2 linked regions of the Oryctolagus cuniculus genome follow. The protein of the gene in region 1 interacts with the protein of each later gene in a biochemical or structural test. Links are inferred from orthologs where the notes say so. Each region holds a gene or a part of one and is shown in the gene's direction. Other genes may lie near its edges.

Region 1 (3,745 bases):
ATGTTACAAAAGTATAGTAATCAAAATAGTATAGTACTGGCATAAAAACAGACGTATTGATCAATGGAACAGAATAAAAAAAAAACAGAAATAAACTCATTGATTTATGGCCAATTGATTTTCAACAAAGATGACAACAATATATGATAGACTAGGGCCAGTGTCATGGTACAACAGGTTAAACTGCCCATCGCAAGGTGGGCATCCATCTCAGTGTGCCAATTTAAGACTCTGCTACTCTGCTTCTGATCCAGCTTCCCCTTAATGTACCTGGGAGGCAGCAGAAGATAACCCAAATGCTTGGGCCTCTGTCATCTAGTGTGTAACTTATGCCCATGTCTCCCAGCCTACTAAACACCCAAGATTCTCAAGCTACTAGCTTCCTTCTTTATGCTTAACTCTATCCAGTTGCCTTCATCCTGTCTTTTCTTGTCCTCTGTAAGCATAACTGAATATTCATACATACAGCACGCTTATGTTACAATGTTTTAAGTGAATAACATGCACGGGATTTCTTTTTAAAGAATCATTGGGTTTATTTATTTATTTATTTTTTTGACAGGCAGAGAGGACAGTGAGAGAGAAAGAAAGGTCTTCCTTTGCCGTTGGTTCACCCTCCAATGGCCACTGCGGCCGGCGCACCGCGCTGATCGAAGCCAGGAGCCAGGTGCTTCTCCTGGTCTCCCATGTGGGTGCAGGGCCCAAGCACTTGGGCCATCCTCCACTGCACTCCCTGGCCACAGCAGAGAGCTGGCCTGGAAGAGGGGCAACCGGGACAGAATCCGGTGCCCCGACCGGGACTAGAACCCGGTGTGCCGGCGCCGCAAGGCGGAGCATTAGCCTAGTGAGCCACGGCGCCAGCCAGCGGTAGTTTTTTTTTTTTTTTTTTTTTTTTTAAACATAGTTCTAGATTAAATCCGACCTAGTGGCGACAGGTCTAGCAATTACCACAATTTCAAGTTAGCGAGGAGCTTAATGTTTAGAGCGCTCGCTCTGCACCACTGCACGTGGCTAATCCTCCCGGGAGCTGCGTCCTGCATTTCTAGGCCAGAACCAAGGAAAATACACTTCCGAGGCTGTTCGGTCCCAGCCGTCTTGGGGCTGCAAATTCGCATGCCTGCCCAGGGCCGGGCCAACGTTTCCTAGCCAGCCCCTTGCCTTCTCGGATCCCAGAGGGCACCTTCTCAAAACGGGTCGGGGCAGAATTCGAGGCGAGAATGCGTCAGCCTACCCCGGATAAAACAGTTAAAGAGGTGGCGCGCTCCAAGCCCCGCCCCGGCCCCCGGCAGCCGCTGGAGGAGCTAGAACCGCACACGCGGCCCGCCCCGCAGACGCCCCGCGGGCGTCTGGGAAACGGCGGCTCCTGCGGCCAGCGAGGGGCGCGCGCTAGCTGCCCGCCCCTTGAACGCCGGCGCCGGGGGCGTGCCCGCGGCCAGGCATCAGCAATCTATCGGCGAGCGACGGCGGCGGTCGGCGCGGCGTGCTCAGGGGCGGCCCTAGGCGCTCGGGCGTCTGCGGGCGGCGCACGGGTGGGCGGCGCGCGCGCGCGGGGCGGCGAGGCGGCGTCGGCGGCGGTGTCGGCGGGCTCCGGGGGCCAGGGTGAGCGAGAGCTGGAGGATGGCGGAGTCTTCGGACAAGCTCTACCGAGTGGAATACGCCAAGAGCGGGCGCGCCTCCTGCAAGAAATGCAGCGAGAGCATCCCCAAGGACTCGCTCCGGATGGCCATCATGGTGCAGGTGCGGGCGGCGCGGGCCGTTTTGTGGGCGGCACGGCGTGGGAGGGCGGAGGGCCCCTCCGGGGGCCCGCGGGGGCCTCGGGGCGGCGCGCAGGGCCTGTGGGCGCTGCTGCGGCTCCCGGTGCGGCGTGCGGCCCACCTGGTGGACCCTTCCGGGAGGTCCGCTCATCCAGCATGAAAAACCCGGGAAACAGACCCGGTAGCGGGTGATTCCTTACGCGCTCGTCGCCATAAGGAGCCGCTTCTCTGGTTTTTGGGCGGTGCAGGAGTTCTTATTTTACTGCTGTTGGCCTCAGGGCGAGGAAAACGTGTGCCGGACCTTCTGAAGCGGCTCTGATTTTTGACCTGCCTTGTTCTCCAAGGTTTTTGGCCTACGTCTCCCAGCCAGACTGGCTGGTGGGGATTTTTTTCGTTTCTTAAACTAATTTTGGCTCCCCTTGCAACAGCCGCTGTCGTATTTTGAATCCTAATTATGCGAAACCTGTGCAGGGCAGTGGCATTTTTGTGTAGTGCGTTCGTTTTGGGCCTGATTTGTGGTTTTAAGGTATTTTCCCCAAACTTTCCAGATTCACACACTCATTCTTTTGCTGCATTTGCGGCTATTTCGAGTGGTCATCTGGACTTTTTGATCGATTGGGGATCCTCTGATGTTGTTCGCAGAGGTTCAGAGATGGGCAGCTGGGGGGTTGGGACTGGCCCCTGCCAGTGTGCCTTTTCGATCCTGATTCTCACCTGCCACGGAAAGATTGTCACCTTCAACGGAAAGATTCTACCCTGGCTTAGTGCTCAGGGCCCAGGTAATTTGGCTTCTGCGGTGCTTTTTAGGGGTGCTTGGCCAGCTCCTCCATAGGCTTCTCAGTACTGAACAGGGCACCAGAGCGGGACACATGGACCAAGTGGGTCCCAAGTGCCGGCTCTGCCTGCGTTGCCTGATTTCACAGCCTGTCGGGGGCTGAGGCTGCCCTCTTGGAATCCCCAGAGCCTCCCCCGGCGCAGTACCTGGCACACAGCCCCAGTACTGTTCCTCCAATGGACGTGTACTGAGTACCTGGTAAGTTCTAGGCCCTGTGTTAGGGTCTAGTGACGCAAGGAAAATCCACCCTCGGGAGCTGTGAGGAAGTGGGTGACACGAGATGGAGCTCCAGGAGAGCAGCCGGAGGTGAACAGGGCTGGGGGGGAGGGGTGAGGATAGAGGAGTACCCGGGGCTTAACAGTTGGAAGCACGGGGAGAGCCTTATCCCCCCCACTAAGTTCTTTGGGTTTGCCCTGAGTACAGGAGACAGCCTATTCAAAGTTGGCAAGGGTCCTGTGCCTGGTGTCTGGGACATTGGGCTCCAGAAGTCCTTGCATTCAGATGAGAAAAAATTTACATCTCTGTTTTCCCTGAACTCGAGGTGAAACACCTTATTTCCTCTAATCCTGATTGTAAGCAGCTACGCAAAGGCATAGTAACAGTACCTGGATTTTCTCCTTGTTTATTTCTGAGGCAGAGTTAGAGAGTCTGAGTGCAAGGGAGAGCGAGATCTTCCGTCTGCTGGTTCACTCCCCAATTGGCTGCAGTATCTGGGCCAGGCTGAAGCCAGGAATTCTGACTGGGTTTCCCATGTGGTTGGCAGGGGCCCCTGTACGTGGGCCATCATCTGCTGCTTTCCCAGATGCATTAGCGGGGAGCTAAATCAGAAGTGGAGCAGCTGGTTCTCAGACCAGTGCCCTGATACGGATGCCAGCATCACAGGCTGGAGCTTAACCCCTCTGTGCTGCAGCGCCATCCCAGACCTATGATTTTTATCACCACTGGTAATTATAATATTTTCATGCTGCTTTATGGCTGGGGCTATGTCAAAATCTTGACAAAATTACAGTAGCTATTAGCATGAGCTCTAGGTCTGGCTATTTATAACTTTAAAGTGCATCAGTTACTGTAATCCCAATTTACTTTAATGTTTGATTGTTTTTCAGTAGAATCCATTTCCTTTGTGAGCTTGCATATTTTAGAAAGGGCCAGCCTT
Region 2 (3,291 bases), on another chromosome or scaffold:
ATCATGTAGTTCACGCAGTGCTGTCGGAAATCAGTGCAGACATTGGGAAGAACGCTTCGGAGACCAGACATCACCCTACATCTTTAAGCACTCGTGCGCTTATTAGGTTACTAGGCGACCTGGTTCATTTTTCATACTTGAGAGGTTGTTTTGGTAATGCAAATTATCTGTTAAATATCATGTCTATTTTAATAGATTTAAACCAGCAATTAAAGTAAGTATCCTAATTAGGAAATGTACAAAATTTAGAGTTTGATTTCAAGGAGTTGGATTCTAAAGTCAAGGGCTTTTCTGACCCTCCGGTTGCTATTCGCAACAATCGCTCTGAAAACCCAGATTTCCCAAGCTGAAAACCTCATTCCCTGAAGACCTCCTCGGCCCCCATAAACTGTCTTTACAGCCAGTTCGGTGTGACCGGCGTGAGGCTGCAGACAGCCAGCTGCGCACTCCCTGTGCTACTTGCTACAGCTAGAAACAATGTTTCCGTCCAAACCAAGGAACCCAGCGCCGCTCCTCTTCTAGGAATCAAAGGCTGACACTAGGAATAAACCCTTCTAAACGCTGTTCGCTGGATACTTGTTCGAAATTTATTGCAACTTGCAACTAAGTAGCAGGATACCGTCAGCCCAAGGGGTTCTCACCAAACGCCGCAGGGATTTTTAAGAATATCCCGCCTCCATTGCGCTCGGTTGACGAACCCACAAACAAGTCCGTGAACCTGGGGGCTGGTTTCCTCCTTTGGAACGCCTAAGCGTCAAATTCCGTGCCGATGTTTTCTGCATTTAATCGAATTTCGGGGACGAACAAACACAACCTGGAGACGCAGCCTCGAGCGGCGGCGGCCCGAGGGCGGCGGATTGGACGCTCCACCAATCACGAGGCAGCGCCGGCTTATATAAGCCCCGACCCGAGCGAGGCGGCATCGCCAAAACTTGTGCTCTGGGCTCCGCAGCGACTCCTGCCGCCATGTCGGAAGCCGCTCCTGCCGAGACCGCCGCTCCGGCGCCTGCCGAGAAGTCCCCCGCCAAGAAGAAGGCGGCCAAGAAACCGGGCGCGGGCGCGGCGAAGCGCAAGGCCGCCGGGCCCCCGGTGTCCGAGCTGATCACCAAGGCCGTGGCCGCCTCCAAGGAGCGCAACGGGCTCTCGCTGGCCGCGCTCAAGAAGGCGCTGGCGGCGGGCGGCTACGACGTGGAGAAGAACAACAGCCGCATCAAGCTGGGCCTCAAGAGCCTGGTGAGCAAGGGCACCCTGGTGCAGACCAAAGGCACCGGCGCCTCGGGCTCCTTCAAGCTCAACAAGAAGGCAGCGTCTGGCGAGGCCAAGCCCAAGGCCAAGAAGGCGGGCGCGGCCAAGCCCAAGAAGCCCGCGGGCGCCACCCCCAAGAAGCCCAAGAAGGCCGCGGGGGCCAAGAAGGCGGTGAAGAAGACGCCCAAGAAGGCCAAGAAGCCCGCGGCGGCGGCCGTCAAGAAGGTGGCCAAGAGCCCCAAGAAGGCCAAGGCTGCGGCCAAGCCCAAGAAGGCGGCCAAGAGCCCCGCCAAGCCCAAGGCTGTGAAGCCGAAGGCCGCCAAGCCCAAGGCTCCCAAGCCCAAGGCCGCCAAGCCCAAGGCCGCGAAGGCCAAGAAGACGGCCGCCAAGAAGAAGTAAAAAGCTGCGCCGTCTGGCCACCGACCAAGCCCCAAAGGCTCTTTTCAGAGCCACCCAGAGACCTCTGGAGAGAGCTGTCTGTCCACCCTTCGCTCGTGTCCAGCCAGGCTCGCACGTAGCTATGTGGGCTTCGAGTGCCCTACCATTCCACGGAGTGTAGTGTCCCCCCCCACTCGCCTGTCGGGGGTAGCCCTCGCCACCTGGCCCCGGGGGACGTTGGCTCTCCAGGAGCGGTTTCCATGGCTCTGAAAAGAGCCTTCGATGCGGGCACAAGCCGACGCGCAGCTTTAAGCTCGTTGCGGATGGTAACTGCAGGTGCGCGTCTTGTTGCGCACTGCGTAGCCCGCCAGCTCCAGGGTCTCGGCCGCCAGGTGCACGGGCGCCCCCCCCGCTCCGCGCGGTTGCCCTTGCGCAGCAGCCGGTCCACGTGGCCCACGGGGAACTGCAACCCGGCCCGGGATGCCGCGTCTTGGCCTTGATGCGCACCTCGCCTCTGCCTGCCGCGTCCGGACATAGTTAAACACGCAGCCGAAAGCTGCAAGTAGAAAGTAGATTATGTTGCTGCTTCTGCTGAGCGCGAAGAGGTGGCCGTGCGATTGGCTCCTGCGCTGTTTTCATTTAGGCCAATGGAATAGGGTGATGTAGGGTAGAGCCTTCGATTGGGTGACGCATATGTGACGCAGTCGCGGACAGCTAGCTGCCTTGTGTTCTGTGCATAGCGTCCCGTAAATGAAGAGCCGTGGCGGGCTCTTCTCGCCGCCCTCCGTAGGCTGGTTTGTCTTTGCGTCTCCCTCTTGCCAGGAGCTAGGCTGCTAGCTCACCACCAAGGGCCAGTGCAGGCGCATCCACGTACGTATACAAGGCACACCAGCAGGAGCACCCCGACGGCTGCCACTAGTCCTATGCCTCGGGCGTCATGACATCGGGGACCTAGCTTTAATCGGCACAAAGATGAACTAGTGATGCTGAAGTCGAGAAGGAGAATGAAGTTCAACCCAATGAATCCCCTTTTCTCACCAGTTAGGGAGGGAGGGTGGGTCCTCGCCGCTACCGCAGGTGCTGGGCCCGCCATTTACAGGCTGCCGGCGCCTCTGAACGCCTGTCCCTGTGGGGCCGAGGTCCTCTCGCCTCCCCCCGCCTCCATGCCTTTCCCGCGCGGTTCCTCTATCTGGAGTTCCAGCTCCCGTTCACGCTCCTGTTAATCTTTCCCTTTAAGGGACGGCGTTTACTGTTTTCACTTGGTCGCCGTTTTCCGTCTTTTGCGTCTCTGAATCGGCCCCAGGCTTCATTTCCCGCTACTCCCCCTTACTGTGTTTTCCGTAAGAAGGGAAATTGTAAACCAAAAGGCCAGGAGGCCTTTCCTCACGTGCAGGCTCGCAGCGTCCCGGCTGGCAGAGCATCTTGCCTTTGACGTTAAATTAATCGGTGTGGAAACGACGTTCTGCAAACTGCCCAACACCGTCACCGTGCGTGTAGGTATTGAGCTTCCTGTGGCTTCATGCTTCAGGAGTCTCAGAAGTGTACATCCTTTCTAGACTGCCTTTTCCTTTGTAATCCATTTCTAACCAGCATTGCCTGTCTCCTCTATCATGGCTGGCTTATGGGACTTTCACTAGTATCCAGCTTTGAAATCAGGAGACCAGTTCC

Evidence for each region.
Region 2: of the proteins of PARP1 (region 1) and H1-5, one has a biochemical effect on the other in vitro, tested with the Homo sapiens proteins (2 studies listed by BioGRID). The link is inferred for Oryctolagus cuniculus from reciprocal best matches to the Homo sapiens genes PARP1 and H1-5.

The regions. Positions count from the first base shown.
Region 1 is NC_091444.1:39,020,331-39,024,075, forward strand, and holds the start of PARP1 (poly [ADP-ribose] polymerase 1), read left to right. Parts: upstream 1-1,501; 5' UTR 1,502-1,617; coding exon 1,618-1,737; intron 1,738-1,821; exon of another isoform or gene 1,822-2,533; intron 2,534-3,745. UniProt on the Homo sapiens protein: Poly-ADP-ribosyltransferase that mediates poly-ADP-ribosylation of proteins and plays a key role in DNA repair.
Region 2 is NC_091436.1:169,837,276-169,840,566, reverse strand, and holds H1-5 (histone H1.5), read left to right. Parts: upstream 1-910; 5' UTR 911-966; coding exon 967-1,644; 3' UTR 1,645-2,725; downstream 2,726-3,291. UniProt on the Homo sapiens protein: Histone H1 protein binds to linker DNA between nucleosomes forming the macromolecular structure known as the chromatin fiber. Histones H1 are necessary for the condensation of nucleosome chains into higher-order structured fibers.